Saccharomyces cerevisiae S288C: one gene and its partner. Each later gene encodes a partner of the first gene's protein in a complex. Each region holds a gene or a part of one and is shown in the gene's direction. Other genes may lie near its edges.

Region 1 (5,883 bases):
CTTTTCTTTTCTTGACTCGTCGTTTCTTTTTCTTTTTTTTTTTTTTTTTTTTCTTCAGAACTATAACACATAGATACACTCGAACATCTAATTGTTTAAATACTGCAAAGAATACAAGGTAATCGACTCTTCTACATACCCTTTTTGCAGATTTGAAATAAAAAAAACATTATATGTTTAGCTTATCGAACTCTCAATACACCTGCCAAGACTACATATCTGACCACATCTGGAAAACTAGCTCCCACTAATTTCATTGCTTAATAATCAGAAATTCTATCACAAACCACTCCTAAAAATATTTCAAATGTCCTCCGCTGCAACAAAAGCTACTTTCTGTATCCAAAATGGTCCTTCCTTTGAAGGTATATCTTTTGGTGCAAACAAATCTGTTGCTGGTGAAACAGTTTTCACTACTTCTCTGGTTGGTTACCCAGAGTCCATGACTGATCCTTCCTACCGTGGTCAGATATTAGTCTTCACGCAACCCTTGATTGGTAACTACGGTGTCCCATCCGGCGAAGCCCGCGATGAATACAATTTACTGAAGTATTTTGAATCTCCGCATATACATGTGGTCGGCATCGTTGTCGCTGAATATGCTTATCAATATTCGCATTGGACCGCTGTTGAATCTCTGGCACAATGGTGTCAGAGAGAAGGTGTTGCTGCTATTACTGGCGTAGACACCCGTGAACTAGTGCAATACTTGAGGGAACAAGGTTCTTCTTTGGGCCGTATTACGTTGGCTGATCATGACCCTGTCCCCTACGTGAATCCCATGAAAACTAACTTGGTTGCTCAAGTCACCACAAAAAAGCCTTTCCACGTCTCTGCCTTACCTGGGAAGGCTAAGGCAAATGTGGCTCTTATTGACTGTGGTGTTAAAGAAAACATTATCAGATGCCTAGTCAAAAGAGGTGCCAATGTAACTGTTTTCCCCTATGATTACAGAATTCAAGATGTTGCTTCTGAATTCGACGGTATTTTCTTATCCAATGGACCAGGCAACCCAGAACTATGCCAAGCTACAATTTCCAACGTCAGGGAATTACTAAATAACCCTGTTTATGACTGTATCCCTATTTTTGGGATTTGTCTAGGCCATCAACTCTTGGCTCTGGCCTCCGGTGCCTCTACTCACAAATTGAAATATGGTAATAGGGCTCACAACATCCCTGCCATGGATTTGACTACCGGCCAGTGCCACATTACATCTCAAAATCATGGCTATGCAGTTGATCCTGAGACCCTACCAAAGGACCAATGGAAACCTTATTTTGTTAATTTAAACGACAAATCAAACGAAGGCATGATACACCTTCAAAGACCCATATTTTCTACCCAATTTCACCCAGAGGCAAAAGGTGGTCCCTTAGACACAGCTATTCTTTTTGACAAATTCTTCGATAATATAGAAAAATACCAATTACAATCTCAGGCAAAAAGTTCAATCTCACTAAAAGTAACATACAGTACCGATAAATCGAGATTGCAGAGTATAAATGTTACTAAGTTGGCCAAGGAAAGAGTGTTGTTCTAAAAACAAAATTTATACATTACGTAACACATACGTACATCTAAATACGATTCAATTCAGTTCATGGTATTTTGCGCTACTCGTCGTTGCTTAGTATCTACTCGCAGTTGTCATAATTAACGGGCGCTTCTTGTAATTAAATGAACAAAAAAACGTAACGTACGTACAATGGCTCTAATTTCATCCTGCCATCCTAAAAAAAAAATCAAATAAAGCAGACTCAAAAATTTTCAGCTTCAGTTAAATTTTGATAAGTATATTTGCATAACTCAAGGAGTTTGTGCAAACGGTTTTCTTTCTTTGTGGTTTGTTTTATTTACTTTCCAATAATACCCGTCTTGTTGGTTTAAGTCGTAACAAAAGGAAAACTTACAATCAGATCATGACGACCCAGCAAGAGGAGCAACGAAGTGATACCAAGAATAGCAAAAGCGAGTCACCTTCAGAAGTTTTAGTCGATACTCTCGACTCAAAGTCAAATGGCAGTAGTGATGATGATAATATCGGACAAAGTGAAGAGCTATCAGATAAAGAAATATATACAGTAGAAGATAGACCACCAGAATATTGGGCTCAAAGAAAGAAAAAATTCGTACTTGATGTAGATCCAAAATACGCCAAGCAAAAGGACAAGTCCGATACGTACAAAAGATTCAAATATTTATTAGGCGTCACAGACCTTTTCCGTCATTTTATTGGAATTAAGGCAAAACATGATAAAAATATTCAAAAACTCTTAAAACAGTTAGATTCTGATGCAAACAAACTTTCCAAATCACACAGCACCGTCAGTTCGTCATCACGTCACCATAGAAAAACAGAAAAGGAGGAAGATGCTGAATTAATGGCTGATGAGGAAGAAGAGATTGTAGATACATATCAGGAAGACATATTCGTCTCAGAATCTCCCTCCTTCGTCAAGTCAGGAAAATTAAGAGACTATCAAGTTCAAGGCTTAAACTGGTTAATATCGTTGCACGAAAACAAACTATCTGGTATCTTGGCCGATGAAATGGGGCTGGGTAAAACCTTACAAACAATTTCATTCCTAGGTTATTTGAGATACGTCAAACAAATCGAGGGACCCTTTCTAATAATAGTACCGAAGTCAACACTAGATAATTGGAGACGAGAGTTTCTTAAATGGACTCCAAACGTCAATGTCCTTGTGTTACATGGTGATAAAGACACAAGAGCTGATATAGTACGGAATATAATATTAGAAGCTAGATTTGATGTATTGATTACATCTTATGAAATGGTCATTAGAGAAAAGAATGCTTTGAAAAGATTAGCTTGGCAATATATTGTTATTGATGAGGCTCACAGGATCAAAAATGAACAAAGCGCGTTATCTCAAATAATTAGATTATTTTACTCTAAGAATAGATTATTGATTACGGGCACGCCTCTACAAAACAATCTACACGAATTATGGGCCCTGCTAAATTTCTTATTACCTGATATATTTGGAGATTCTGAACTTTTTGATGAATGGTTCGAACAAAACAATTCGGAACAAGATCAAGAAATTGTAATCCAACAGCTACACTCAGTACTAAACCCCTTTTTACTGAGAAGAGTCAAAGCGGATGTCGAAAAATCTTTGCTACCTAAAATCGAAACGAATGTTTACGTGGGGATGACAGACATGCAAATACAATGGTATAAATCATTATTAGAGAAGGATATAGACGCTGTTAACGGTGCTGTTGGAAAAAGAGAAGGCAAAACGAGGTTACTGAATATTGTTATGCAATTAAGGAAATGCTGTAATCATCCATATCTTTTTGAAGGCGCAGAACCTGGACCTCCATACACTACCGATGAACATTTGATTTTCAATTCCGGGAAAATGATTATATTAGATAAGTTACTGAAAAGACTGAAGGAAAAGGGATCTAGAGTATTGATTTTCAGTCAAATGTCGAGACTATTGGATATCTTAGAAGATTATTGCTATTTTAGAGATTTTGAATATTGCAGAATCGACGGTTCTACTAGCCATGAAGAACGTATAGAAGCTATCGATGAGTATAATAAACCTAATTCTGAAAAGTTCGTTTTTTTGCTAACAACACGTGCCGGTGGTTTAGGTATTAACCTTGTCACAGCCGACACTGTTATTCTTTTTGATTCTGATTGGAACCCTCAAGCTGATCTACAAGCAATGGATAGAGCGCATAGAATTGGTCAAAAGAAACAAGTTCATGTTTATAGATTTGTCACAGAAAATGCTATTGAAGAGAAAGTCATTGAGCGTGCCGCACAAAAGCTGAGACTAGACCAGTTGGTTATCCAACAGGGCACGGGCAAGAAAACTGCATCTCTTGGTAACTCAAAGGATGATCTGTTGGATATGATTCAATTTGGCGCTAAAAATATGTTTGAAAAGAAAGCAAGTAAAGTCACTGTTGATGCTGATATCGATGATATTTTGAAAAAGGGGGAACAGAAGACACAAGAACTAAATGCCAAATACCAAAGTTTAGGACTTGACGACTTACAAAAGTTCAATGGGATCGAGAACCAATCTGCTTACGAATGGAATGGTAAAAGCTTTCAAAAAAAATCCAACGACAAAGTAGTTGAATGGATTAATCCTTCCCGAAGAGAAAGAAGAAGAGAGCAAACCACTTATTCAGTTGACGATTATTATAAGGAAATTATTGGTGGTGGCTCTAAATCAGCAAGCAAGCAAACTCCGCAGCCAAAAGCACCCCGCGCTCCAAAGGTTATACACGGTCAAGATTTCCAGTTCTTCCCCAAGGAGTTGGATGCCTTACAAGAAAAGGAACAGCTTTACTTCAAGAAAAAGGTCAACTATAAGGTTACTTCTTATGATATTACGGGAGATATACGTAATGAAGGAAGCGATGCTGAAGAAGAAGAAGGAGAATACAAAAATGCCGCTAATACAGAAGGTCATAAAGGCCATGAGGAACTTAAAAGAAGGATTGAGGAGGAGCAAGAGAAGATTAATTCAGCACCGGATTTTACCCAAGAAGATGAATTACGAAAGCAAGAATTGATATCAAAAGCCTTTACTAACTGGAATAAGAGGGACTTTATGGCGTTTATCAACGCCTGCGCCAAATACGGTAGAGATGATATGGAAAACATTAAGAAATCTATTGATTCCAAAACACCAGAAGAGGTTGAAGTGTATGCAAAAATATTCTGGGAAAGACTAAAGGAAATCAATGGGTGGGAGAAGTATTTACATAATGTAGAACTTGGTGAAAAAAAAAATGAAAAACTGAAATTCCAGGAAACTCTATTGAGGCAGAAAATCGAACAGTGTAAACATCCATTACATGAGCTGATAATACAGTATCCACCTAATAATGCTAGAAGAACTTACAATACCTTAGAAGATAAATTTTTATTATTAGCTGTTAACAAGTACGGACTTCGTGCTGACAAGCTCTATGAAAAATTAAAGCAAGAAATCATGATGAGTGATTTGTTCACTTTTGATTGGTTTATAAAGACAAGAACGGTGCATGAGCTATCAAAAAGAGTCCATACGCTATTAACTTTAATTGTAAGAGAGTATGAGCAACCTGACGCAAATAAGAAGAAAAGGAGTAGAACTTCAGCGACTAGAGAGGATACTCCTTTATCCCAAAATGAAAGCACTAGAGCTTCAACGGTTCCAAATCTCCCGACGACGATGGTGACAAATCAAAAAGATACAAACGATCATGTTGATAAAAGAACCAAAATTGATCAAGAAGCATGAATCATGTATTGTGCATTAAAATAAGTGACGTGAGAGATATAATTTTTTATATTACTTTTTCATTGAATACAATTAAACTAACGAGCCTTATAGACCGCATTATATAATGAACCGTAGCCACTTCTTGACCACTATCTTCAAGTTTGATAATGATAAATGACAGGTAATCATATTTCAGTCACCTTTTTCCCTTCAATGAAATGTGATATCGCTGCAAAAATGGTGAATGAAGAGGACAAATTAAGTCTAACTGGGTCGAGCCGCTTTAACTAATTCATATCCATTCTAAGATAATTGAACTGCTGAAAACTAAAGCCTGCTTTGATACTTGTCATATTGTATTTATCTACAAACTTACATTAACAACAGTGTACTGAATTATAAGAGAGCAATTGCCAAAAAAGTCATTTAGTTAAAACTTCTCCATTTCAAGTTTCCAAGGATAGGTGAAGTGCTATCCCAGAGACTCCAAAAACATGCGAATATATTATTAAGTTTCAGTTGATTAATATTTCTAAACCATATAAAAAAGCACGTATTTGGCACGATCTGTAGTTAATTGCAACCTAGTTACGCGATAGCACGCGTTTTCTTTTTT
Region 2 (3,099 bases), on another chromosome or scaffold:
ATTGCCGATAAAATCTTATAGCCCGTAGTATTTGGATTCATTTTGCTTAAGTCTTTCTTCTCATCATCACATTTCTGCATCACATACCAGATTGCATCCCATGGAGCGTTAGTCTTTAGGGACGATGGTTGGGCATGTGTCAATGAACATTCAAAGCCTAGGGAACCTAGGCCTGCGACTACTTTTTTCAAGGGAGGTACTTGTAATTTTATTACCGATGCAATATGGTTAGGACTGAAATAGAATGGCGAATCGGATAATTCATTCTTAGCTAGAGATAGCATACCTTCAATTCTTTTACGTGTTCCATATGTATCATCCTGGTCACGATGCTCTTCTTTATTAATTCTCAACACCTCCTCGATGAACTCCTTGTTGTGTAGAGGTCCTGCATACATTGGACCAGCTAAATGGTATGTCCCCTCGCAGAACTTACATTTAGTATCAACCGGAGGCCCTTGCGCAACCGAGTATTTGGTGAATGTTTTGTTGTTCCTACCTTCGCGTTGAGAAATTCTGCCCAGAGGTTGATTGTGGTAAGAGCCGCAACGGGAACAATGGTAAGTAGTCATAGTACTTGACATAACGTTTTTGACTTCAATCGGGCTTGTTTTGACTTTGACAAAAACTCTGACGTAAAAGTCAATGCTCAACGACAAAAGCGGTTCCACAGTTTTCTTGTATTTCGCGGCAGTTTGCTTTAGTAAGTTCAATACTAGTCTCAGCGCACTTTCGTGAGTTGATTCATGAGAAACCATATTTGCACCACCATATAAGGCAAAACACTTTTCTGGGTATCCGTTACCGGCCAAAACGGATAAATCAGTGCAAGTTACCAGCATTAGACCACCCTCCTCAATACTCTGAATAGCCGCATCTACAAAAGGTGTAACGGTACCGTAAGGATCCAAGTCGATGACGTGAAACTTATTATTCGTCGCTTTGTTACGGTACATTAAGACATTAGCATCATCAAGGTTTGGCTTGACAATGTTTTCGACACTATTATATTCAACGTTTCGTTTTATAGATTCGACAGCCTCTGGAAGTAAATCGTTAGCAATAACTTCCCTCACATGGGGAATTTCATGAGCATACCTAATGGCTCTTAACCCAGTGGCTGACAATGCTTCCAAAATATTTATATAAGGTTCGTTTCGATTAGAATTACCAACGGCTTCTTTTGGTGACCCGTTTCCCATTTTTTGACGCTTGGAAGAATCATCGTTAGTTTCCGCGCACCTTTTCTTCTTACTTTTTTTATTATTTCTCTTTTGGCCACATTCCTCACCATATAGGTTGTCCCACGCCTTGATGCATGTAACACTTAGATCTCTATTAAATTGTTGGATGGGATTATAGAAAACAGTTTCCTTTTTAGGGAAAAGAATTTCTGCTTTTCCTTCCTTGACTATATTGAAATCCTCAATATTGATTCTTGGTGCACCATACGCGGTAAAATTCGCTTTAATTTTGGATATAGCAGCCTTCAACATTCCGTGTAAATTTGCCCGCTTGAGGGGTATCCTGAAGAAACCTTCCATATCTACATTGTAAGAGGAAAGGTATCAACTTATGACTGCTCAGGATCTGTAACTTTGCGATGAGCATTGAATGCGATGAAAAAAAAATAATGCTTTATCCCTTTGGACGAATAAAGAAAGGCTCAAATTGGAATAACGTTAAAAACCAGATTCGATCATCAGAGCTTAAAATTGTTATTCATAGCGGCACAATAGCAGAAGCCACAGAATATTACCTAGAGGTTTTAGGTGAAAGGAAGGATTTTTTTAATTATTTAATACTTTGAAATAGAAGTCAAGCCTTTCATTGCTTATTTATATCAGACCATATATTTTTACACACGATGCCACCAAAAGGTTGGAGAAAAGACGCCCAAGGGAATTACCCCACTACTTCGTATATTAAAGAACAAGAGAACATTACGATTCAGGACCTGTTATTTCCTAAAAGCACTATTGTGAATTTGGCACGCGAAGTGCCACAGCAAAGCGGCAAAAAGCTGCTGATAAATAAAGACGCATCACTAGCGTTACAGCGTGGTGCTACAGTATTTGTTAACCACTTGCTCCTGTTTGCAAGGGAAATTGCAAAGAGTCAAGATAAAAAAAGCTGCAGTGTAGATGATGTTCTGAGTGCTTTGGACCATATAGGACACTCGGCATTGAAGGGTCCGGTTAGAGATAAACTAGATGAATACCAAGCTGCTGTTGAACAGAGGAAGAAGGAAAAACTAGATAGTGGTGAAGTAGATGCTGATGGCGATATAGATATGGGTGAAGATAAGGAGAATGTGCCCGTGGAAAAGGTTAAAGAGCATGACGAAATAGAAGAACAAGGCGATGCATTACAGGACGTAGAAGAGTCCTCCGAAAAGAAACAGAAAACGGAGAGCCAAGATGTAGAAACTAGAGTTCAAAACCTTGAGCAAACGTAACCCCGCTATGGAAACTGTCTAGTAGTGCTTGCCACCACTCCCACAGGATCGTAGTATGTAACTTGCCTTTATTACCTACATACATAATAAGCTATACTCATCGTCGTTATTTGCAAGCCGGGGAACCCAACGCGGCGCCAATGCGGAAGGAAAGAAAGGGGACAAGAAGTTGATATTGGTGGAACGTTAACAAGAAATTATGGCGTTGAGGAAGTGTATTAGCGAGATACGATATCAAGCAGGTTTAGTTAGAGCCACTTTGTGATTTGAAATTTTTTGAGATTTACTTCGTTATTATAAGGACATACGGTAACCTAGGCTAGTTAACATAATTAGTTGTCACCCTTCGCCCCCCTACCCTATCGGTCTTTCATTTTCCAACTATTGATTAGTAAAATTCAAACATCTTTGCTCCGATTAGAGCAACTGAATATACTAGGGATTTTGGGCTATTACGCATTTTTTTTTTCAACTTCTTTTAAACAGGTACAGTTTATTACGATTACTTTTTGCTCACGTAGAATATGGATGATTATCACGTAAATACTGCCTTCTCAATGGGCAGAGGTAACCAGCAGGATGATGGCAATAGTGAAAGCAACAGCATGCATACACAACCAAGCACTATGGCGCCCGCTACG

The links.
Region 2: ISW2 (region 1) and DPB4 share a complex: the UniProt entries of both Saccharomyces cerevisiae proteins name them as parts of the ISW2 complex.

Annotation. Positions count from the first base shown.
Region 1 is NC_001147.6:882,592-888,474, forward strand, and holds ISW2 (DNA translocase), read left to right. Parts: upstream 1-1,922; coding exon 1,923-5,285; downstream 5,286-5,883. Other genes in the region: YOR302W (uncharacterized protein), read left to right, coding at 174-251; carbamoyl-phosphate synthase (glutamine-hydrolyzing) CPA1, read left to right, coding at 308-1,543. UniProt on the Saccharomyces cerevisiae protein: Catalytic component of the ISW2 complex, which acts in remodeling the chromatin by catalyzing an ATP-dependent alteration in the structure of nucleosomal DNA.
Region 2 is NC_001136.10:691,718-694,816, forward strand, and holds DPB4 (DNA polymerase epsilon noncatalytic subunit), read left to right. Parts: upstream 1-1,867; coding exon 1,868-2,458; downstream 2,459-3,099. Other genes in the region: TRM1 (tRNA (guanine26-N2)-dimethyltransferase), read right to left, coding at 1-1,544; serine/threonine protein kinase KIN1, read left to right, coding at 2,983-3,099. UniProt on the Saccharomyces cerevisiae protein: As accessory component of the DNA polymerase epsilon (DNA polymerase II) participates in chromosomal DNA replication.